5 linked regions of the Cricetulus griseus genome follow. The protein of the gene in region 4 purifies or fractionates together with the protein of the main gene of each other region. This does not show direct contact. Links are inferred from orthologs where the notes say so. Each region holds a gene or a part of one and is shown on either strand. Other genes may lie near its edges.

Region 1 (5,114 bases), on a different chromosome or scaffold from region 4:
GGAGGTAATTTTTTTATTAAAATATTTTATTACATTTTATTTATTTTGTATATATGTCTGCTTGGTGGTCAGAGGACAACCTCTCTTCATTAGGGTATTGGGGCTGGCAGGCTTGGTGGCAATCACCTTTACCCACTGAGCCATTTAGCTGGCTCGCACAACGAGACAATTTTTGGCTCATACAAATGAGAGTGCAGTGTCTCTATATGAATTTCCTCAGAAAGAAAGGCTTCCTCTGTTTTGTTCACCCTGCTCCACGCCTAGAAAAAACTCAGGAACAGAGTAGGCACTCTGTAAATATTTGTCTCCTTAGGGAACCGTCTTATATCCCTGTCCCCAAAGTGTCATTGGGAAGATACACTCTGCCCCAGAGGAGCCCAAGTCCCAGAAACTCCTTGAGAGCCAAACAAGATATTCACAGCAGGGCTTGGCATAGGCCCCAGACGTCAAGATGTCTACTGAGCCAGGTGCCTTGGAGTGACAAATGACACTTGTGGGACTGGTAGGCAAAAACATAGCTTGGGAGAGTAAGTTGGTGACTGAGTAAAATGGTGCAGGCAGTTGAGGGGAGCTGGGATGACTCCAGAAGCTCCACCGTTGGCGCCAGCAGCAGAAAGGAGGCCAGAGATCTGCAAGGGTGCACCCCATGCCATGCTGCTGTGGCCTGGTGAAAATGAATCTCCAGATGGGGAAGCCACCTTGCTAGGAACACACGGAAGGGAATCCGTGCATCCCTTTTGCTTTGAGAATCATGAGCTTTTGGAGTGGGGGGTGGGGAAGAGGATTTTTGTAAACTGTGAAGGGCTGCTTGGAGAGAGAAATGGGTCAGGTGGGTGTGCATTTTCAGATCCAGTTAGCCTGAGAGGCAGCACAGTTGGGGGCTCCCTGGAGAAGGGTGCCCTCGGGGAGGCGATGAAACCAGAGGCAAGCAGCAGTAGAATGTGCTGAAGCCCGGGGCGCACAGCAGCCTCTAACTCGCTTTCCTCCGCAAATTCCCATCTTATCTGCTGCCGTGCGCTCATTCAATCCAGCTCAGGCTAAATCCAGGGGAGAACATCACGGTTATTATATAACTTTCTGAGTTCAAGAAAGATAATCTAAAGATAGGTGACACCTTACAAAAGTCTCCCAACCTCTCCCTAAAATGTAAAACTGCAGAAGTGCACGCAAGAGGTACACAGTTACTGAATTATGCACTACTCACAATGGACTAACGTTTCTTTTATCTGGGGGAGGCTTTCTTTTTTTCAAATACTGGATCTTAGATACTTTATTGCAGTATTACGAAATCTTGGCAGTGCTGGGGATTGAACCCAGGGTCTCACACATACTAGACAAGCGTTCATACCACAGAGTCATACATACAGCTCTTCTTGCTCACCAATATGAGCCGGCATATTTGAATCCTCGACCCTCCAACTTCCTTCTCCTAAAGATCCTCCATGGACATCTCCAACCCAGATTGGTTCCGAGGGGTGGGTGACTGACTCCCTGGTGAGCTCCCACCCCGCCGAGTCTGCAGACATCTGCCCCAAATCAGCAGCACCGGGAGGAGATCTTAACTCTAGCAACGAGCAGCCGCCGGACAATACCCGTCTTTAACTCGCGCGCGCGCCAACTTTGCAACTTCACTCTCCCGCGGGGGGTGGGGTGGGGGTGGGGGTGGGGGCGGGGGGGTGGAGGGTGGGGGTGGGGGTCTATTCCCCGCCCCACCCTCCACTCCCGTCCCCCACCCCCACCCCCCGCCCGTTTGGCGGAAGGATCCCGCGCGCGGATGGGTGTCTCACCGTCTCTGCCAGGCCCCGCCCCTGAAGCGCGAAGGCCGCCCCCTCCCGCAGCGGCCCCGCCCTCCCGCGCCCTATGGGCCTGAAGTCCCGGCCGCCGCTGCACTCCCCGCGCGCGCATCCGTGCGCCGCCCGAGGCTGGCCTGACGAGTCGGCGGCCATTTTGTTCTTCTCGTGGTTCCAGTGGCGAGAGGAGGAGGAAGCCGGGAGCGGGGCGGCTGGGGGGGGGACCCGCCGCGGCTGCTGCTGCCACCGCCGCCGCCACCACCGCTCGTGGGGCTCGTGGCGTGAGGAAGGAGGACGTGTGAGGCCCGGGCGCGAGCCGGCGGCGGCGCCGCTGCGGGAGGGTCGGCGGCAGGACGGCGATGGCGGATATCGATAAACTCAACATCGACAGCATCATCCAACGGCTGCTGGAAGGTGAGCGGCGCGCGGGCGGGCGGGCGGGCGGGGCCGGTGGGACCAGGCCCGGTGGGGACCGGTCCTCGGAAGCCGCTTGGATCTGGGGCGCGCACACAGCGCCTCCGGGTCTAGGGACAGACCCCTTGTTTTTATTACTGCCTCTCCTGCCCTTGCTCTCACATTGTGATAAATCTGGAGTCCAAGGACCCAGTGTGACTTGGCGGGGCGACGTCCCGGGGCGACGAGAGCCCCGTCCCTTGCATCCCCCCCCCCCAAAAAAAAGCCATCCTCCCTCCGGCGCTCTTTCCCCTTGAACGTGCATCCGCACACGGGCCGAGCCGCGACCGGGGTGACAGTGTCTGTGGCTCTCTGCTCATCAGATTGTTGTCCCGAGGAGAGGGGCGCGCTGCTGCATTCAGCGAGCGCCCTGCCAGGTAGGTGCTGTTATCTTGGAAGAAACTTAAAAGACCTCGCCTGACCAAGGGCGAGTCCCGCTTCAAACCCCTGGTAGCCAAGGTCTAGACACGACCTGCCTGCCCTCTTCCACTGTTCACCCTGTGGGAGCGCAGGGCATGCGTGCCTAGTGGCTAAGGGAAGGTTAAAAATCTTTTCTTTTGTCCGACTTATGACGGGGTGGGTGGGGGGCGCTGCAGTGGGTTCCTAGTTGGTGAGAGATTAATATGACATAGGGACTCCCCACAATTCCCGACCTAATGCTGATTGGGTTCTTGACAATGTTATTAACTAGCTGGCTTTTGCTGCTTTTGCCTAAAATACTGTTGGCGTGTAAGAAACATGCCGTGAGTGGTGGTGGTGAACAGCTGCAGAGTCATTGAAAGAAAAGTAAAAAGTGTCTTTTTAATCTGTGCATTTTCTCCCCTAATACTTTATTTTATTGCTTTGTTTAGATCGGGTCTTTTTTGTTTTTGGCTTTGTTGAGACAGGGTCTCTGCAGTCCTGGCTGTCCTGGAGCTCGATGTGTGTAGATCAGGCTAGCCTCAAACTCTCAGATCCCTCTGCCTCCCCTTCCTGAGTGCTGGGGATTAAAGGCTTTTATCATCATTTCCCCTAGATAAAGTCCCACAGAGCCAGAACTGGCCTTGAACTCCTGATCCTTGTGCCTCCTCCCAAGTACTAGAAGTTATAAGCCACCAAGCCTGGGTTATGAAGTCCTGAGGATTGAACCCAAGGCTTCTTCCTACACGCTGAGTAAGCATTCCATCACCTGGGCTGCATCCCCAGCTCAGATTTCGTTGTGTTTTTTTTTTTTTTTTTTTTTTATGTTTAACACTATGCTGAAAAAGTTTTAGCAGTAAACTTGGCTCATCTTTTGTTTTTAAATTTATTTTTCACATGGGATGTGTGTGAGTGCACCCAGGCCACAGCACCCGGGATTAGAGGACAATTGGGTGTGTGTAGTTTGTTCTTATCTTTGTGTAGGCTTGCTTCATCAGCTTTCCTTTCTCCCCCTTTAAAAATTTTTGTTTTTAGATTTTATGTTTTAAGCTTTGTCTTCATATGTATGTGTTTACCACATGCATGCCTATAACCAAGGAGGTTAGAAAGGGGCATTGGGTCCTCTGGGGCTGGAGTTAGATGGTTGTGAGCCACTATCTGTGCTGGGAGCGTAGCCAGGGTTATCCCCAAGAGCAGCAAGTGCTCTTGGCTGCTGAACCATCACCTCAGCCCCCCCTTCTTTTTTCTTTTTTTTTTATGGGGGGAACAGGTTTGAAGACAGCTTTTTTCTACATAGATCAGGCTGGCCTTGAACTCAGCTCTGGGATTAAAGGTGTGTGCCACCATTGATGGGCCCCTATAGTTTCTTGAATGTTACTTTTTAAATTTTGAGACTGAGTGTCACTACCAAGCAAAGGCTAACCTGAGATTTACAGAGATCTGCCTGCCTCTGCCTCCTATAAGTGTTGGAATTGGAGACTTTACCACCATGTCCAGGCTGGTTTTTTATTTTCTTTTGAACTTAATAGAGTAGGATACTATATTTAAATGCTTTGAGAATAAGCTAGTTGCACAGTATATGTTTCTTCTTATTTCTGTATGTGAACTTAACAAAACCACAGCCTTCTGTTGAGGATGTGTGTGCTTCTCCATTAGAGAATGTGGTGTTGTGCTCTCTCTACTTTGTGTACCATCTTTAGGGCCGTCATCTCTGAACACTGGGAGTGAGATTTAAGTAATTCATAGACTCTAGAGATGGCTCAGCTGATAATTAGTGGCTCTGCCCTTAACCACGAAGACCTGATTTGATCCTCAGGACCCACAAGAACTTGAGAGGAGAACCAGACTCTCGCCTGCTTCCCTCCCTCCCCAAACGCTCCCAGCAAGTGTGTACTTGCACACCTCTACATAGTAAAATGAAATTCAGGGTTTAATTCCAAAAGGTGGAGATAAGATTTGTCACTTGATGAGGCATTTTTTCCAATTGATAATTGATTCTTTTGTAGTTGGGCACCTTACTGCCCCAACACTCTGGAGCCTGGGACACGGAAATGCAGACATTCTAGGCCAGGCTGTGTTGGATAGCAATATCTGTCTCACAGTTGGAACCCTTCCTCAAGAACTCCCAAACTTAAGAGCTATGAACGAGCTGAGAAAGGGCTTTGCAAGCGAGGGCTGTATGAACGAGATGGGACAGGGTCTTTAATAATGAGGTGTGGCCATGTGGCACACTCCTTCATCCCAGAGCGGTGAGCTGGGAGGCCAACCTGGTCTACACACCAAATTCCATGCCAGCCAGCTATCCATAGTGAGACCCTGTCTCAAAAAATCAAGGGCTGGAGAGATGGTTAAGAGCATGTTATTCTTCCAGAGGATCCAAGCTCAATTACCAGCACATGGGGCAGCTCAGTGCCTGCTATTCCAGCTCTAGAAGATGAGACACCTGGCCCCCCGATACATACATGTCATACA
Region 2 (5,169 bases), on a different chromosome or scaffold from region 4:
AGAGTGAAACTGTCTCATAAAAATAATAACAAAATATAGTTACATCTGAGCCTGATGGCATAGGCCTGGAATCCTAGTTACTGGGAAGACTGAGGAAGGTTGGAAGTTCAAGACTAGCCTAGGCTGCTGATGAGTTCATGGTCATACCCTAACAGTGTAATGAGACTATCTCAAAACAAAAGTAAAATCAGGGTTGGGGATATACTTCAGTAGCAGAGCCCTTGCAAGTATGTGTAATGCTCTGGGCTCAAGCCTCCGGCTGAAAGGTTATCAACCCATTAATTAAAATATATAGAGGCTAATAGTATATAGCTAAGCAACAGAACGCTTGCCTAGCATCAAAGTTGGGTACAATTCTCAGTACCACAAAAAATAGTTAAGTAACATAACTAATGCTTTGGAGCAACATCTGAGTTCTACTGGGTAGAAACATAAAGAGGAGAGAAGAACATTACTAGGAACTTTTTTTTTGAGACAGGATTTTGTTATATAGCCCAGGCGGGCCTCAAATTAACAATCCTACCTCCTGGAGTACTGCAATTATAGGTTTCTCACCTCACCTACTTCCAGTTTTTAAATTCAGCATTTGTACACAGCATGCCATCATTGCTAGCAGTTATAACGCCATGGAACCAAATGTACTGTCTACAGAACCCACTAATCTCAAGTCAGTCTTGCAACAAGGTTAGCCAATCTCTCAAGGTTAACCTCCTCCTCCTCCTACTTCCACCCCACCCCATGGACTAAGAAACACCTGAACATTTTACTCTTCTAAAAATTTACACCGCTAATAGAGAGGATGGGCTGTTAAAAGGATTAATGATGAACAAAGAATAAGGACTATGAAAACACTCCAACAAAACCATTCTCACACACTGCACAGACCACTGCTTATGTATGTGATTTGTGCATTCTCACCAGTTCAAGTTAAAATCTAGTCAAAGGGGCTATAGTAGCCTGAAGACATTCTAGGGGGACCTCATTATGTTGTCTTTGTTAACAGTCAACTCCCAGAGGCTGGGTCCTCAAGAAAATCAACAAACTCAAAGACAAGGCTAAGCCAGAAAAGGGCTATGTACAAAAACTAGAAATTTAGACGGGCATTGGTGGCGCTCGCCTTTAACCCCAGCACTCAGGAGGCAGAGGCAGGCGGATCTCTGTGAGTTCGAGACCAGCCTGGTCTACAAGAGCTAGTTCCAGGACAGCCTCCAAAGCCACAGAGAAACCCTGTCTCCAAAAACCAAAAAAACCCCAAAAAACTAGAAATTTGTTTGGCAAGTGAACTGACCAGATTCTCCCTAAATACGCACAATCTGCAAGGTGAAGAACAGCAAGAGAGTAATCAGGAACCCTGATTTTAGCCGAGAGTACACGGAGGACTTTTTTTTTCAGATAGAAAAGTAGTTTTAGTCTAACTAGACATATGACCTTCAAAATTTTTAACGCTCACCAGGAACGGTGGTACACATCCCAGCACTATTCAGAAGGCAGAAGCAGGACAGCTAGATCTACAAATCAAGTTCCAGCGCTCAAGTCAGACTCTGTGTCCATTTCTCTTAAGTAGTAGGCAGGGGTCTCTCCCACTGTTCTCTCTGCAGAGTGCTAATAAACCTTTCTCTTGAAAAAAGTCCCTGAACTCAGTCTCCACGCCTACAAATGGAGTCAGCCTATAAATCCTTTAAATCTTTTCCAGTCTATATGGGGGAAAGTTGGCAGATTTTCCTTCTCCAGGAGATTTCTGGGTAGCGGCATTGTAAGTTGAACACTTGACTTTTGACTCAGTTAGTTATAGGGCTGGAATAAAGCTCAGAGATATAGCACCTGCTCACTATGCCCCAAGCCCTGAGTTTAATTTCAAGCACCAAAGAGAAAAAAAAAATAAAATAGAAAACACAAGCTCTCTATATATTTTATGCCCCTAAGAAACACCTAAGTAGACAAATTCTCACAATAGTTCTGAGAGCCTTCAATAGTAAGACCTAGCCTTGTATTTTAAGTTAACAAGGATACTTGTGTTAAATGTTCCAGACAGTATCACTACCAAGATAACCATGTGGATGGTGAGAAACCATCCACACGGTACATTCACACTTGGACATGTGACACTTAATGGCTGAAAATTCTCACCACATACTACATTGAGTTTCCCATCCCTCCAGGTTTGCCAGAGGAATATAATCTGGTTATATATAACCTGCAAAACAACACTTATTTCAAAAGAATGTCAGAAGACAGAAAGAACCATATGAATAACCAACAGAGGTTAAAATTCTTAGTGAGGACTATTAGAAAATACAAGTAGAACCAATTGTGGGACAAAAAAAAAAAGATGCCAATTTCCCACTTTATGCTACTAAACAAATCAAAAAAACAAAAACAAACAAAAAATATTTGGGTGCAAAAAGTACAATTTCAAGAAAACGACCTGAAAAGGGAACCCATCTGTAAGTGATTCCTAATTAAAGCAGTAACTTTAAGTAGAAATGCATCTATATCGATGCAACCTCTCCAAATTATTTTTACAATGTTTTTTCAACTGGAAAATACCTTCCCCCCATACAGTCTTCACCGCTAAGATTTCAAAACAATCATTTACTTACACAATCTCTAAGAATACGGCATTGAAAACAGAAAATCCACCCAAAGCCTCACTGTCTTCACCCGGTATAAAACGGTGATTAATGATCCACATTCAATGTAAAAGGCAAAATGGAGTTGTAAAAGAGTTTCTTGCCTATTCCAACTCCCGACACCACGCGCGCTTCACAGTGGCAGACTCCCCCAGCGCGGTCGCGGGCCGGCCGGGAGCCCCCGCCCAGCCCGGCGCAGCCCTGAGAGGAAGCGACGGGGAGGGCGGGCGGCTAGGGCTCCACCAGGCCCGGCCGGGCGGGGGAAGGGGGACTGGAGGCGGCGGGGCGCGCTTCGGGGACTGCGCGGGGCGGGCGGGGCCGCCGCCTCGGGCGCGGGGCCCCGGTCAGGGGGGGCCAGGGCTGCCGGCCGAGAGCAGCAGGTGGGGCGCGCCCGCGACTGGGGGACGGCGGGTGCCGGAAAGTGCCGGGCGGGCGGGCGGCGGCGGCGGCCGGCCGGCCGGGCCCCCGGAGCCGAGGCGGCTGGAGGGAATGCTTCTGCTCACCTCAAGGCGACCACTCCAAGTCCGGCCTCTTCGCGCCGAGGACGCCTGTCCGCGAGTCCGCAAGCTCGGAGACGAGGACCGGCAGCTCCGCGGAAGACGGCGGACTCAGCAGAGAACCGACGGAGGACCGCGGGCGGCGGGCGGCGGGCGGGGAGCGCGAGCGAACGAGGGCGGGCGGTGGCGGGAGGGCGGGGAGCGACGTGCGCGCCCCCGAGCGCCCTGCGGGCTCGAGCTGGCGCCAGTCGCGGCCCCGCGCACGCGCGCACTCTCGCAGTTCGTCCACGATTGCTCAAGAGCGCAACCACGCCCTAAAAGCAAGACGCTTAACCAATCATTGCGGCCGCGTGGAGCATCACGGGAACTCCGGGGCTATAAAAGACCAAGTTGCTATTTTATACTCACCGATTCACTCATCCTTTAAGTAGCAGGGCGGGGATGGGTGCGCCTGCGCGGTTTTAAAGCCCTGCCCCAAACTGCCAACACTTCGCGCAAGCGAAGTAGATCGTCTTTGCCCGACATTACGCGTGCGCACCTACTTCTCTAACCCCGGAAGACCGTGCGCTTGCGCAGTGAGAACTACGGTGACAGTACACCCGGTGGGGCGCTGGCCAGTCATGGCGGAACCTTGGTCTGGGCAGTTTTTGCAAGCTCTGCCCGCGTCGGTGCTCGGAGCGCTGGGCACCCTGGGCAGCGAATTCCTGCGGGAGTGGGAGACACAAGACATGCGAGTGACTCTCTTCAAGCTGCTCCTGCTGTGGTTGGTGTTAAGTCTCCTGGGCATCCAGCTGGCGTGGGGGTTCTACGGGAACACAGTGACCGGGTTGTATCACCGTCCAGGTGAGGCTCCCTACGAACCTCCTTGGCCTGGCTGCCCCTACCACCACCAAGCTATACCACTTGTTTCTCCTGTGTCCGCGTAGACTGCCACTGGTCTCCCAGAAGCCTCGTTGCACCCAGACTTACACCCCCATACCATCTTACATCAGAATCCCCACCTGTCCATAATCACGTTGTAACGGTTTCTCAAAAACCCTTACCAGACAATACTACCAGTCCCTAGCATCCCAGCCCCAATCTCTTAAACTGTACCAGTGGCCCCTTACCTGAGCCTGCTCAGATCCCCACCCTCAGCCTCCTGCAGCTCTGGGTGTGTTCCTGCCTCCAGGTCTGGGTGGCCAGAATGGATCCACACCTGATGGCTCCACACATTTTCCTTCATGGTGAGTAAATCTCCGTCTATCCCAACCCCATGCTTGGCAGGCAGAGAACACTGAGTGCTGGTGACAGGGAAGAGAATTCGCAGGGCCACCACCTTAGTGGCCTCTGCAAGAACCCTCCAATTCTGCAGGTAGAGCTCAGGATTCGAGTTGGGCATTTAGCAGTGCCTCTTATCAGCATATGCAGTGGGGATGGATGGTGGTGGTACCGTAATTTTAGAAAGGTGAAGTGGTAGGTAGGTCTGTTGGAAACAAATCCCTTGATTGGGAAGTCCTTCATTAGGAAAGTGAGAGTATCTATTCTAGGCAAGTACTGTACCATTGGAACTATAACGCCAGCCTAACAGCCTCTATTCTTAGCACACTACCTCATCAAAAAAAAAAAAAAAAAAAAAAAAAAAAAACCAGCCTACTTATCAAGACACTTCATTCAGTCAGTCTCTGAGCTTCTACCAGATAGCAGAGCTCACAGCAGGCCCAGAAAACAAGGACAACCCAGACTCTGCTACAGGGGAAGCAAGAGATTTAGAAGGAAAATAAGTACAAATGCAAAGTTGCTCAGGAAAGCAGCCCCTCCCCCATGACACCTAAACTGAGACCAAAGAGAGGACGGCACAGTATACTGGATAAGAAAAAAAAAAAAAAAAGGATAAAAACAGACCCAGTAGCAGGGACAAATGTGACACACTAGGAGACTAGGAGAGGCTGTGATAGTGAACTTTGAACACAAGAGCATAGGGGGACCATGGAGCGATTGAAGGACTGATTCAGCAAGACAGTGACCTGATCTAATTTGCCTTTATAACTCTCTGCTTAATA
Region 3 (3,376 bases), on a different chromosome or scaffold from region 4:
AGCCACCATGTGGTTGCTGGAATTGAAGTCAGGACATCTGGAAGAGCAGTCGGTACTCTTAACCTCTGAGCCATCTCTCTAGCCCTTTGTTTTGTTTTGTTTTTGTTTGTTTTTCGAGACAGGGTTTTTCTGTGGCTTTGGAGGCTGTCCTGACTGCCTCAGTCTCTCGAGTGCTGGGATTAAAGGCGTGTGCCACCACTGCCCAGCTGTAACTTTTCATCTAGTGACTGGACACTGTAAAAAAAAATTTTTTTTTTTTCTCAGAAAGATCTTAATATGTAGACCTGACTTCATAGATCTTCATGTCTGCATCACAAATCTTGGGACTTAAGGCAGCCTGTATTCTATTTTTTGTCTTTGAGATTTTGCCAGCAAACTAGCATAATAATCTGTGATAGCTGCATATGTTCAGCTGTGATTACTGTATTATTGTTAGGAGCACATAATGTACTGAGTGCTTATCTATGAGAAGCTGTAGAGTAGTTTTTAAGAGATCTGAAATAATTTTTCTACATAGTATAATGTCTATCCTTTAATAACCAATACTAATTTGCTTACTTTTCCTTAGTTTTAATCTGAATGAATATTTATAAAAATCTGGTCTATAAGATACAAATTAACTAATATTGAGATTAAGGCTTACTTTCTTGAGCTACCTTTAAATATAGACAACTAAGAGATAACAACTAAATTCCTATTAGCAACTATTTGATTTATACCCCAGCAAAGTTAACAAATCACATTAGATAAATGTGTGTGTCATCTAATGAAACATGGCTACAACTATGTCAGTACATGTCTCATTGTAAAACAACACAGAATGATCACTCAGGCTTTGTATCAATTAGACAACTTTTACTAAATGAGAAAACTACATTTAAAATGTGCTTTAAAACAAAATTAGAAAAAAAAAAAGATGAATGCGTTTTAAAGAACTTTTGCACTGTGCTGAAAATCAAATGTTTCTTGCAGTAATACAATGTGCCAATCCATAAAATGTTAACAGAGTTCTCAGTTTAACATTTTCAAAGACAATATAAGGTTTCACATCTATGGTAACACATAAGAAGGGCATTATAAATATTATGTCCATCCCTATGAAGCTTACAAATTTGACATGTTCAATAAAGACTTTAGAATCACATCCAATAGTGTCACATCCAAAGAACCACAGATCTGTGCCTGTTGTTAAGTCTTCCTTCTAAAATCTGTGTTGACCTTGCTACTCCTTGACATTTGTTAATGCTAACCCTTAAAAAAAAAAGAGAACAGGAAAAGAAATGCTGCAATAAACTCTTGATCATGTACAGAAATTATTGCTACTATACTTCACTACAAAGCATGTCTATACATATTATGACCTTTGATTATGAAAACGCAGAGTAAAATCTTTAGTGACAAAGCCTTACAGTCAAAAACAACATTCACATGGCAATTATTAGACAGTGAAGCACCCGATACTCAGAGCTGACAAATGTCCCACTGACCAGCATTCATTTAAATACATCCTTCACATGGAGAGGGAAAGAAGAGCGCCAGCTTTCCAAGGCTTGTCAAAAAAAGGATTCTCATGTTCTGTGGATCTAAAAACAAACAAACAACAACAAAAACCCCAAAAAACAAAACCAATGCAGGTGAGGGTAATTACCAGAAAGTTAAGCATGCCAAAAGGTGTTTCGTGCGAATTAAAACCTAAAGCCAAGGTACCACATAATCACATTACCAACTAGTTTTGGGTAATACTATATGAGCCTTATCTTAAACAAAATGCTACTGCACAATAGAGCATCAATAAATTAAAAATTAGAGTGCACAAATCCAAATCAGTGGCAATTTTGTAAAAAGCGAAATATTCATTATCAGCTGCAAAGGTTGCCCAGTCAAACTGTTTGATTAAAATCATTGGATCAGATAGTTTGTATATTTTTAAAACCCATCAACCCTTAAAATTCCTTTTTGTTATTTTGAGGCATAAGTTTTCTTAGTAAGATCAAACAGTTACATAAGTAGCTAAGTGAAGAAAACTAATAGTTGGTGAATGTCTTTAAAGCTCTTCCCATATTTCACTTTTTAAAATGTTTAGGGAAAAACAGGAAAAGTAGTTGCCATTATTCTAGCAAAAACAAACAAAACAAAACAAGCCCAAAATAATTAAACAACCAAGCAACACTAAAACCACATTACACAGATGGAACGTCATGCTTTCATCGGGTAACTACCACAGCTAGTTTAACTGGGATGCTTGTCATCTTTAAAAAGTGTGATACCAGAAGATATAACTTCAATGGATACTTTTGAATTTGGATTTAACTTTGTTGAATATTATAACAGAGTATACTTATTACAATACAGTGTAGCACATCTTTCTATTAGAAAAAAATTTAAGCTCCTTTACCCGTCTCCTTAAGTTAAAGGTGTGACCTCATAAAGGGTGTCGAATGGCTGGATGGTTTTACAGTGCACACTTTATATTATGAAGTATGTCCTTAACAGATCTGATGCTTTCTTTACAGAATTCCTTTCTTCACCTTTTCTTCGGTGGATTAGCTGTTCGAGGTGGAGTGACAGGACGTCCAGAATTCAGTCCACCATACTGGTACTTAGCTTTCTTTTCAGATGGTTTCAATATCTTAAAATAAATAATTTATTAACAACATTATTCTTTCAATAAATGGCATCAATTGTTAAAGTCCAATGAAAACAGAAGCTCAGCAACATTGCACAAACATTTCTTAGATTTTAGGACTGGGTAAGTTTGTCAGAGCAACTCAGTGTGTGCTCAGCATGAAAAAGAGCCTGGGTCCTGCCTCCAGCACCACCCTTCTCCAAGGAGGGCACTTACTAGTTATCATTTCCTTTGTATTCTAATAACAATGGCTTGGATGCACAGTCTCAGTAACTAAGTTAAAATTTTCTTCATTAGTTCATCTCATTAGAGAGGAAAAAACACTGAGTCTGAGTCAAAAACTCCAGGTTCTCGACTTACTTCTGAACACGCACCCTGAGGAGTGGTGTAGTTGTTGGTGTAGGCAGATTAGCCTCATATTCATGGCAAGCCTTCTGCCCTAGCATTTTGAGTGCTGAGATTACAGGCATAAGCCACCACACAGAACTTTGACTTTATTTTCCCCGTTACAGGTAGATCTTACTTTAAATTTTTTTTATGAAGCCCGGTGGTGGCGCACACTTTTAATCCCAGTACTTGGGAGGCAGACACAGGTGGATCTTAGTGAGTTTGAGGCCAGCCTGGTCTACAAAGAGAGTTCCAAAACAGCCAGGGCTATAGAGAGAAACCCTGTCTTGAAAACCCAAAACTAAACAAAAACATGATTATTTTCCATATCATAAAGTTTAACTGCTTACAGTGTACAAGTTT
Region 4 (4,493 bases):
TTTTAATAGTTTTTGCCTATAGTTCAGAAACTGAAAGTTACACTTCTGACATAGGACTGCTTTAAGAAATAGGTTTATAATTTCCTAAATCTTTTTTATTTATTTAGGTTTTTCAAGACAGGGTTTCTCTGTGTAGCCCTGGCCATCCTGGAACTCACTCTGTAGCTCAGGCTACAGAACTCACAGAGATCCACCTGCCTCTGCCTCTCGAGTGCTGGGATTAAAGGTGTGCACCACCACAGCCTGGCGCCTTCTGTTTTTTCAATGGAGGAATGCATACAATTTAGAGATTCATTTTTTATAGCCATAAAAGTAAATTATTGCTACATATAACAGCATAGATGTACTTCAAAAGAGAATACAGTTGTACTCAAATGTGTCAACAGTCGACATTAAAAACGATGAGAGTATGGGGACTTTGTATAGCCATTTTTATGCTGTCATGAAGCTATACATTTATTTATTATGTTTCTGGATAAAGATCAAATTTTAATAAAATGGTTTTATGGACTGAGGTTGTATCTCACTGCCAAAGCATTCGTTTGCCTAGAATGTTTGTTGCTTCAATTTGACCCTCAGTTTTGTGAAGAAATTACTAAAAAATGTTAAAAACAAAAAAATATCAAGAGGCTATATTTATTCAGGTTATATATATGTGTGTGTGACTGTTTATAAAGTATTTTAAAATTTAATAATGGACTAATGATTTAAAACACATATACTCTCAGGGATGCAGCAGTTCTGAACAAGCGCTGGGAAGGTTAAGTGTACTATCAAGTGTTTTTAACAGGTTCTCACATCTTGTGTCCAAAAGGAAACTCCAGTCGACCGCCTTTTTTCTCTAGGTCTCCGTCGCTCTCTGATTGATTTAGCTTGTGATTTATCTTCACCTTCTTTTTCCTCTTCTTTCTTCTCTCCCTCTATTATGGATTATACGCCACATGAGTACATTTTATCTTGACAACGTCTTTACAAGGATACGGCAAAACAATTCTAGGACTGGCTGGCTGGTTCAATGGGTAAATATGACTGCTGCCAAGCCAAGGGACCCACACGGTGGAAGGGGAGAACAGATTCTGACAATCTGTCCTCCGACCCCCACAGGTGAGCCACCATACTTACCCTCATACATCTATCCTTTCCCAGCACTTACAAAATAAAAGAAAAGTCACACCCCAATTCTAAGTTAGCCTCTTAGGTGAAGTCTACATTTTTCCAATTAAAAATAATTTTTGCCTCCATCAGTACTTGTATATATTTGACAAAGCATGCATTTCAATCTCCCATTAAGGCACAGTTATTGGCCATGAGTACAAATTATCTCTACTTTCTTGCTGTCCAAAATAAAAACATTTTCCAAAGACACAATATTTGCAAGTCGAAAACAAGGTGTTTGGTGGGAAGAATAGGGATGCAGTTATTAATATGTGATAGTAATTTATACCCAAACTAATAATGTGCGAGGAAACAAGCAGACCAAACAAATGATGGGACAGATGGTAGGAGCCCAGTTGCTCCTTTACCACTGTTTTCTACCACTTCACAGTCACTGAAAAATCTACCCATCTTTCATTAAAAGCAAATCGTATAAACATGATTGCTGTTTCCTCCCTGCAAATGGCTTCCATACTACAAGACTACAGGGGCCTTTGAACACACAGAACACGACTGCTTGCACCATTTCTGTTCAATCAGTTTAAGATTGTCTTCCTGAGGTGCACTGGAAGGAGGGAAACCTCCTCAAAGATGGCTTGAAAAAGTGATTTCTTACCTCTTTCATTTTCTTTCGTTAATCCCCGGGAGTAGGCAGAAGTTATACCTACAAGACTGTTTGGCCTGTTTAGCTGACTTGAAGCATAGAGTGAGCTGCTGATAGTAGAAAGTGAGGAGGATGATGGAGTGGTGGAACTGGAGGTTGACACTGGTCTGTAACGTGTATAAGTCTGTGAAACATTAAAGATGAAACCCATTGGAAATAGTAATTACAGTAAAGACACATAAGACACAATGCTGACTTCAAAGAACAAGCACTATTTGCATCATGCTAAAGCCATTTGGACTCTAGCCCAAGCCTTTCACGTATGTCACGCAGCTTGTTAGGCTATACATCTCAGCACACTCAGAACCCCAAGAATCCCTCATGACACTTGACTCAGCTATGCTGCCCATAGCATTACCTCATCATATGATCTGGAATACTTTTGTTTATATTCATCTTCTCTAGATGTTTCTGACTCCTTCTTTTCTTCTTGCTTCTCTTTATCCTGTTTTTCTTTTTCCTCTTTTTCTTTCTCTTCATTTTCTTGTTCTCTGGTTCTTGTAGAACGACTTCTTCCTATTGTTTTTTCAGCTTCCTGAAGATCAGTCAGTGTTACGCCCTGCACATCAGAAAGGCATAAATAGTGAGACACATTAAAGACCATTTAAAAAGAATACTTTACAAGCTGATAAATCAAATATGAATGTAATTTTAATACAGTAAGTCACACTCACTTTACAAACAGCAACAATGACAGGAATTGGGAAAGTTGTAACTATAGATAAGAAACAGTCTCTATTTATAAACTAACAAAATACTAAGAAAATGGAAAAATCTGAATGTTTCTAATTTCAGAAGAAGAGCCAATCCATACAATATACCATTTTTATAATACACTACATGGATTCATTTTCACACATTAACTTGAGGTTTGACAAAGTCTTCAATAAGTAAGTACTGTTTTCAGGTTAGACCATTGAAAACAAGCTAAATAATAAAAATAGCTTAAGACCAAACAAACGTAACGCTTCGAAAGGCAAGTAATGGTAGGGTTCAAAGAGTTGAATCCATACTACTGTGGAGTTCCTCAAATGTAGGGAAAATACCATAATCAGAACAACGAGCAGGAAGTAGGAAAGTGACTACCTTGAGAGACACCACTCTTAACTTGCTATTTCCTATACTGAACACCAGGCCTATTTTCCATTCCTTCACCTCCACATATTCGTAAGACTTTAACAATTATAAGGCATCATATGGCTGGGCAATGGTGCATGCCTTTAATCTCAGCACTTGTGAGATAGAGGCAGGAGGACCTCTGAGTTCAAGGCCAGCCTGGTCTACAGAGTGAGTTCCAGGACAGCCAGGGCTACACAGAGAGACCCTGTCTTGAAAAAAACAAAACAAAAGCATCATGTGATTAACTCATTTAACACCTATGAATACTCTGTACCAGAAACCAAATTGGGTATGGAGGATTAAAAACAATACTCAAAGAGACAAAGGACTAATTAGATGTAATAAGATACCAAAAGTGTAACCTTATATACAAAAACTATGGAAGGATAAGTACAACAACCTTTACCTTTTCTGATTATTCATACAGCAAAGTGAAAATGAAAGGGCATGCATTAATTATCTACATGTTCTTTATATTATACACATTAAATATACCTGTGTTGACCTTCTAGACTGTCTTGCTTGTCTAGATCTTGCTTTTCTTTGGGATTCAGACTCTTCGTCTCTAACAGGAGTGAGGTATGACCTACAGTAATAGATAAAACTTATTACTTATAGAGTCAGTATGCATGAATAGAAATAGTCATCAATGTTTGTGATTAAAACAAGCAAGCTTTAGTGTTTAGTGGGTTAAAAAAAGAATCTTAAGAAAATGTACCTACTTTGAATTTCATTAATGCAATATAACTTTATTTAATTTTTAATGTGTGTGGATGTTTTGCCTTCTTGTTTTGTCTGTACTACTTGTCTGCCTGATACCCACAAAAGCCAATGGATCCCCTGGGAGTAGAGTTACAGACAGCTATCAACAGTCATGTGGGTGCTAGCAACCCAATTCCAGACCCTCTAGAAGAACAAGTTCTCCAAACCCCCGAGGAAGCTCTTCAGTCCATGATCATTTCTTTCTAGACAAGAACTAGTTATACTTAATATAGCATGTTGATTTCTTCCTTGCTACATTTAATGGTATAGCTTAATTTAAAAATAATGTAATTTAAAGTAACTAGAGAACGGATGATTGAAAGAAACATAAGCATTTCATTAGCAAAGTGTCAGTTCACAGATATGGAAAGGGTGGATCTAGCCTCCATTGAGAAACAACTCATTCCATGTTATTTCTTTAGGGCCCCACAAATCCATTTATCAACCAAGTTCTATCATTTTTATTATATTTTACTTAATATATTATTATAATAATTAATATTATATATTATCTTTTCTACACCCAGAATATTTTTAAGTACATCTTCTTTTCCAATCCCAACTCCAAATTCCTTAAAACATCCCCTTGGGCCTGTTTTGTTTGTTGTAACATTCTTAGATGACATATGAAGATATATGACTTAAAGTCTCTACTGTAAATGTCAGAACAGCTGTATTGAGATGGGGACATTCTTTACATTCATGTTATTTAATTATTTAAACTCTGAGTACAAATCATACTCTTTAGTTTTGTTTTGGAGACTGTTTCTCTGTGTGGCCCTGGGCTGTTCTG
Region 5 (4,493 bases), on a different chromosome or scaffold from region 4:
TGAAGATGGAGGATGATCCAATAAAATATATTTTTGAGACAGGGCTTCTCTGTGTAGCCCTGGCTGTCCTGAACTTGCTCTGGAGACCAGGCTGACCTCGTACTCACAGATCCACCTGCCTCTACTGTGGAGTGCTGGGATTAAAGTCGAGAACCATCACTGCTCAGATGGTTCTCAGTAAACTTTTACTGACAACATCAGACAGCAAGTTCACAGTCTTGACCAGCAACAACTCCTGGACTGAATAAAGTTCAAGAGAATGCCAAAGTACCCACGACGACAACCATGTAAACAGTAGTCTCTGCTAAGTAACCTAGGAGGACTAAGTCATGTTAAGGGTTCTGAGTGGATCCGCTTTACCTCTGTACCCAACACACAAGTTTTCAGGACTCTGTGTTTTCAGTTTATGTTCAGTGGTCAAGTAACTGCAGAATCCAGGAATACCCTGAATTCAGAGCTAGGCTATCAAAACCATTGGGCCTTTTTAATTAGCCCTGGCTATGCAGAAACTCTCTATACAGACTAGGCTGGCCTCAAACTCACAGAGACCCACTTGCCTCTGCTGCCCAAGTGTTGGGATTAAGGGCATTTGCCATCATGCCTGGCTCACACTGGGTCTACTTGATGTCTCAGACCAGAGGTGCAAAACAATGTGGTCATTTAAAAAGACTATGCTAGTACCCAGTTTAGACAGCTTTAGGGCTGGGTGTGTAGCTCAGTGGAAGAGCTTGACTGGCATGCACGAGGAGCTGGGTTTAACCCTCAGCTCCACAGAACTGAGTACATAAGAAGGCTTGGGGTGGCTGGGTGGGGAGATGGATCCACTGTTAAGAACACTGGTTGCTTTTGCAGAGGAACCAAATTCAGCTCCCCAGCACCCACATGGTGGCTGTTCCAGGGGATCTGATGCCTTCTTCTGACCTCCTCAGACACCAGTCACTCATTTGGTTTGTGTCATATGTTACTTGACCACTGAACATAAACTGAAAACACAGAGTCCTGAAAACTTGTGTGTTGGGTCCAGCTGGGTCCAGGGAGAACATTAATACACATAAAATAAAAACATTAAAAAGAAAGCAAGCTGGGGCCAATATGCCAGCTCATGGGGGAAAGCGCTTGCTGTCAGGCCGGATGACCTGAGCCTGGTCCCTGGGACTCACAGGGAGAGCTCAGTTTGAATTCCATACACTGCAGTGGAAAATGCAAATGAAAAATGACTTTAAAAATTGTGAGGAAAAAGCTGTAGAGAGCTAAACCTTAGAATGCCTAAAGAGTTTCTCTCTATTTCCAGGTAAGATGCAGACTTGAAGCCTGATTTAACAGTGTATGCTCAGTTCTGACTGCATACTGTCTATCTTTAGTTTAAGAGAGCAACTGGCTGACAAAAGAAACAGAATCCAACCAATGTTTAATTCTCAAGATGTTCTATAATAGTATTATAAGTTGCTGTGGATGACAATGATGGATCGAGTGCACAGTGAAATGAGACAGTAAGGAAGAAAACCTATATTGTATATGATGACAATAAAGGAGCCGCAGCAAGTGATGCTTAGGGAGCACAATAGAAATAAATGATTCAAATATCCAGCAGAACACAGGTTAGGCCAAGGGAGGAACACTGAAACAGAAAGCTGTAACTAAAGTCAAATACCAGTCCTTGGCAGGATAGCAGCTGCTCTCCATCTACAACTCAGGCTCAAACCCACAGGAGCTGCCTGATGCTTGACAGCCTGACACTGATGCTCTGCTCAGACACTAACATGAACCCGAGGCCAGTTCACACTACACTGCAGAGCCTGGTCACCACCATTTCCGCAGTATCCAGAAACTTGTCACACTTTTCTACTTCACACGAGAGGCCACAACACACCCTTCAACACACACAGCCTCTATACTGGCAGTGACAGAGACACCAACAACAAGAAGCAGTAACTGGCGCTCTGGCACAGGGCTCTGGGATCCCAGATGAGAACACAGCCCTGAACTAGCACCTGAAAGCAGATTTAAACACTCAACCATCTAGCGCTTTCTAGGCTTCTGTGAAGTAAGACGTGAGGTACCTTGTCACCCTGGCCCAAGTTCTCCGATTTAGCCTCATACAAAGTTTTCCAGTTGGTGTTGTTCCCTCCAGCGCCTCCACTCCTGAGGTCAGAGATGGAAACACCATCTAAGGCTTGTCCTTCTGAGTCGAACCTAAAAAACAAAACAAAAGCAATGGTGACAGGAACTTTGCATCCTTCTCAAATGTGCTGTTTGGATATACCAGCCACGAGCTCTGTCACTACCGGGTCCCATCTGGGTCCCAGCACACCTGAAGAATTACAATGGCCTTTCTTTTGACCTCATTTGTTTTGACCTCCACTCCCACATGACCCCATGGTCAAGACAAACAATGCCCAAATACCACAGACCCCCTGCCCCAAACTGGGCTGCATATTAAAAAAAAAAAAGCAGTGAACAGAGTCAGCAACAGAAGGCCACCCTGGCGCAGTCCCCCAGGCTTCGAGCCTTTACCTCAATCACTGAAATGAATCAGATGAAAAGGGACATTTTTGTTTCATGAGTCAGCCAAAAATGTTTTCATGGTAGAAAATCTTTTAAGCCTAATCAGTTGTAGAATTCAACATACTTCATCAGAAGGCATTATCTGCTGTGTTAGATATTTGCTTTCTCAGTGGGAATTTATTTATGCAAACATCAAGGTTAAGTCATTTATATGAAATTATTATTAAAACTGATTACACCTCTTGACCAGCTATTGGCTAATCCAAAGGAAAAGAGGCCAGGGAGAAGGTAGCAAGAACATGCAGTGGCGGAGAGTGGTGGGCTTGAGATTAAAAACATGAGCTGGCTGTAGTGAGTGGTGAACGTCTTTAGTCCCAGCCTTTGGGAGGCAGAGGTGGGTGCACCTCTGAGTTCGAGGCCAGCCTGGTCTACAGAGTGAGTTCCAGGCCAGCCAGGGATACACAGAAAAGCCCTTTCTCAAATAAATGAACAAACAAACACAAACATATCAAACACCCAAGTGGTAGGTAATTAAATGTTAACCACATACAGGACTGACTCCCTAAAAAGAGAGCACTCAACAGAGTGGCTGCTGCCCTAGGCCACATTGTGTCAGGTGAACAGCTACATCCGTCATAGAGGATAGAGTTCATAATTGGTTTTACCACTAAAAACTGTGAAGTTTATGGCTTCAAAAACTTCATGCAGACATTTGCCACAAAGATAGCTCATCAAGAATCAACAGAGCAAGGAGACAGGAGCCCTTCTTATAATAAAAATTCCACCCTGTTAGTGGCAAGATCTAAACTTCCGATAATCCTTGCCTGGGTGGGGTGTGTGCACTGAACCTGTCCTAGATCAATGACAGGACCTTTTGTTCAGGGGACATACATGCCTCTTTGTGTTTTCTGCGATCAGTTACTGACAGTGAAATATGAACACCTTACTGTGGGCATGCAATTAACCTGGAGTTGTGCTCAGAGCCTGGAAGAAAATCAACCAACAAAAACAAACCAAAGACACGATTGTTTCTAGTTAAACTACTATGGGATTCTGTCATATGATGCAATACTAGCTATCAGCACCGTTAAATAGATGGATGCAGGCTACTCGAGAGGGTGGCTTAAGCAATACAGACATTCTAGGAGATATTCTATCAAATTATTAAAATATCACTGTTACTGGAGTATATCAGATTCAAAACAAAAATGAGGAGTATAAAATGAGCTATTTCTTGAATCCCCTAAACTCTAAGCCATAGCTGGAAACCACACATGCCCCCTGTGACTACAGCTACACAAATGACTTAAGCTTGAGCTGGGTAAAGTCTTTTCTTTGCCCACATCAATTCTTCCACACTACATTCTCAGGATGAAGTGCTCTTCTAAGGCAGAGTTTTAATGCCTTAAAAAAAAAAAAAAAGCTAGATACGGTGTGGGGATCTTAACAAGCTCTCCTGTCTCTTGAGTGCTTCGAGAATAACGATGTAATGCCAACAAAAAGCCCATTGTTCCCACCATGCTTTGACAGAGGTGAGTGAATACACACCAGAAGAGGTGACCAGCTCCCGAGACTCCAGAGTGAGAAAGTACATTTTACCCCCACATCAGCTGCCCACAGCTCAAACTTAGGAGCAAAAGATGCTCTCAACACATTCTTTTAGCACGCAGCTGTTAAAGCCTTGCTGTTGGGGGGAGTGGAGTAGTGGTGGTGGTGGTGGTGGTGGGGATCAGGGTCAGCATGCACACTTCACTTACATTCTAATTGCTTTCTCTGACTCTCTAGGTTCATCAGGGGATTAAGTTGGTCAGCTTAAGGGCTTTCAGGCCACCATCTCAGAAGGCGTAAGGCCTCCGAGAAATGAAGGAACCACTCCAATCAATAACAAAGTTTCGGCAGAAGCTCAGATGCTGATGGAAACTAGCTCTTCTCAAGGCCTGAGCACAAGTAACCGCTTAGCCGAGGCCCATAAAACCTACCATCCACGG

Evidence for each region.
Region 1: the proteins of Ppp1r12a (region 4) and Ppp1cc purify together in Homo sapiens (affinity purification with western blotting; 3 studies listed by BioGRID, with this or other methods). This does not show direct contact. The link is inferred for Cricetulus griseus from reciprocal best matches to the Homo sapiens genes PPP1R12A and PPP1CC.
Region 2: the proteins of Ppp1r12a (region 4) and Rhoa fractionate together in Homo sapiens (co-fractionation; 3 studies listed by BioGRID and IntAct, with this or other methods). This does not show direct contact. The link is inferred for Cricetulus griseus from reciprocal best matches to the Homo sapiens genes PPP1R12A and RHOA.
Region 3: the proteins of Ppp1r12a (region 4) and Ppp1cb purify together in Homo sapiens (affinity purification with mass spectrometry; 6 studies listed by BioGRID and IntAct, with this or other methods). This does not show direct contact. The link is inferred for Cricetulus griseus from reciprocal best matches to the Homo sapiens genes PPP1R12A and PPP1CB.
Region 5: the proteins of Ppp1r12a (region 4) and Rpa1 fractionate together in Homo sapiens (co-fractionation; 3 studies listed by BioGRID, with this or other methods). This does not show direct contact. The link is inferred for Cricetulus griseus from reciprocal best matches to the Homo sapiens genes PPP1R12A and RPA1.

What each region holds. Positions count from the first base shown.
Region 1 is NC_048597.1:102,007,420-102,012,533, forward strand, and holds the start of Ppp1cc (serine/threonine-protein phosphatase PP1-gamma catalytic subunit), read left to right. Parts: upstream 1-1,927; 5' UTR 1,928-2,149; coding exon 2,150-2,204; intron 2,205-5,114. UniProt on the Homo sapiens protein: Protein phosphatase that associates with over 200 regulatory proteins to form highly specific holoenzymes which dephosphorylate hundreds of biological targets.
Region 2 is NC_048597.1:216,484,448-216,489,616, reverse strand, and holds the start of Rhoa (transforming protein RhoA), read right to left. Parts: upstream 3,276-5,169; 5' UTR 3,134-3,275; intron 2,739-3,133; exon of another isoform or gene 2,601-2,738; intron 1-2,600. Other genes in the region: Tcta (T-cell leukemia translocation-altered gene protein), read left to right, coding at 3,748-3,970. UniProt on the Homo sapiens protein: Small GTPase which cycles between an active GTP-bound and an inactive GDP-bound state.
Region 3 is NC_048600.1:11,974,562-11,977,937, forward strand, and holds the end of Ppp1cb (serine/threonine-protein phosphatase PP1-beta catalytic subunit), read right to left. Parts: intron 2,630-3,376; coding exon 2,525-2,629; 3' UTR 835-2,524; downstream 1-834. UniProt on the Homo sapiens protein: Protein phosphatase that associates with over 200 regulatory proteins to form highly specific holoenzymes which dephosphorylate hundreds of biological targets.
Region 4 is NW_023276806.1:146,975,919-146,980,411, forward strand, and holds part of Ppp1r12a (protein phosphatase 1 regulatory subunit 12A), read right to left. Parts: intron 3,525-4,493; coding exon 3,434-3,524; intron 2,379-3,433; coding exon 2,178-2,378; intron 1,944-2,177; coding exon 1,772-1,943; intron 921-1,771; coding exon 799-920; intron 1-798. UniProt on the Homo sapiens protein: Key regulator of protein phosphatase 1C (PPP1C). Mediates binding to myosin. As part of the PPP1C complex, involved in dephosphorylation of PLK1. Capable of inhibiting HIF1AN-dependent suppression of HIF1A activity.
Region 5 is NC_048600.1:88,760,009-88,764,501, forward strand, and holds part of Rpa1 (replication protein A 70 kDa DNA-binding subunit), read right to left. Parts: coding exon 4,485-4,493; intron 2,194-4,484; coding exon 2,061-2,193; intron 1-2,060. UniProt on the Homo sapiens protein: As part of the heterotrimeric replication protein A complex (RPA/RP-A), binds and stabilizes single-stranded DNA intermediates that form during DNA replication or upon DNA stress.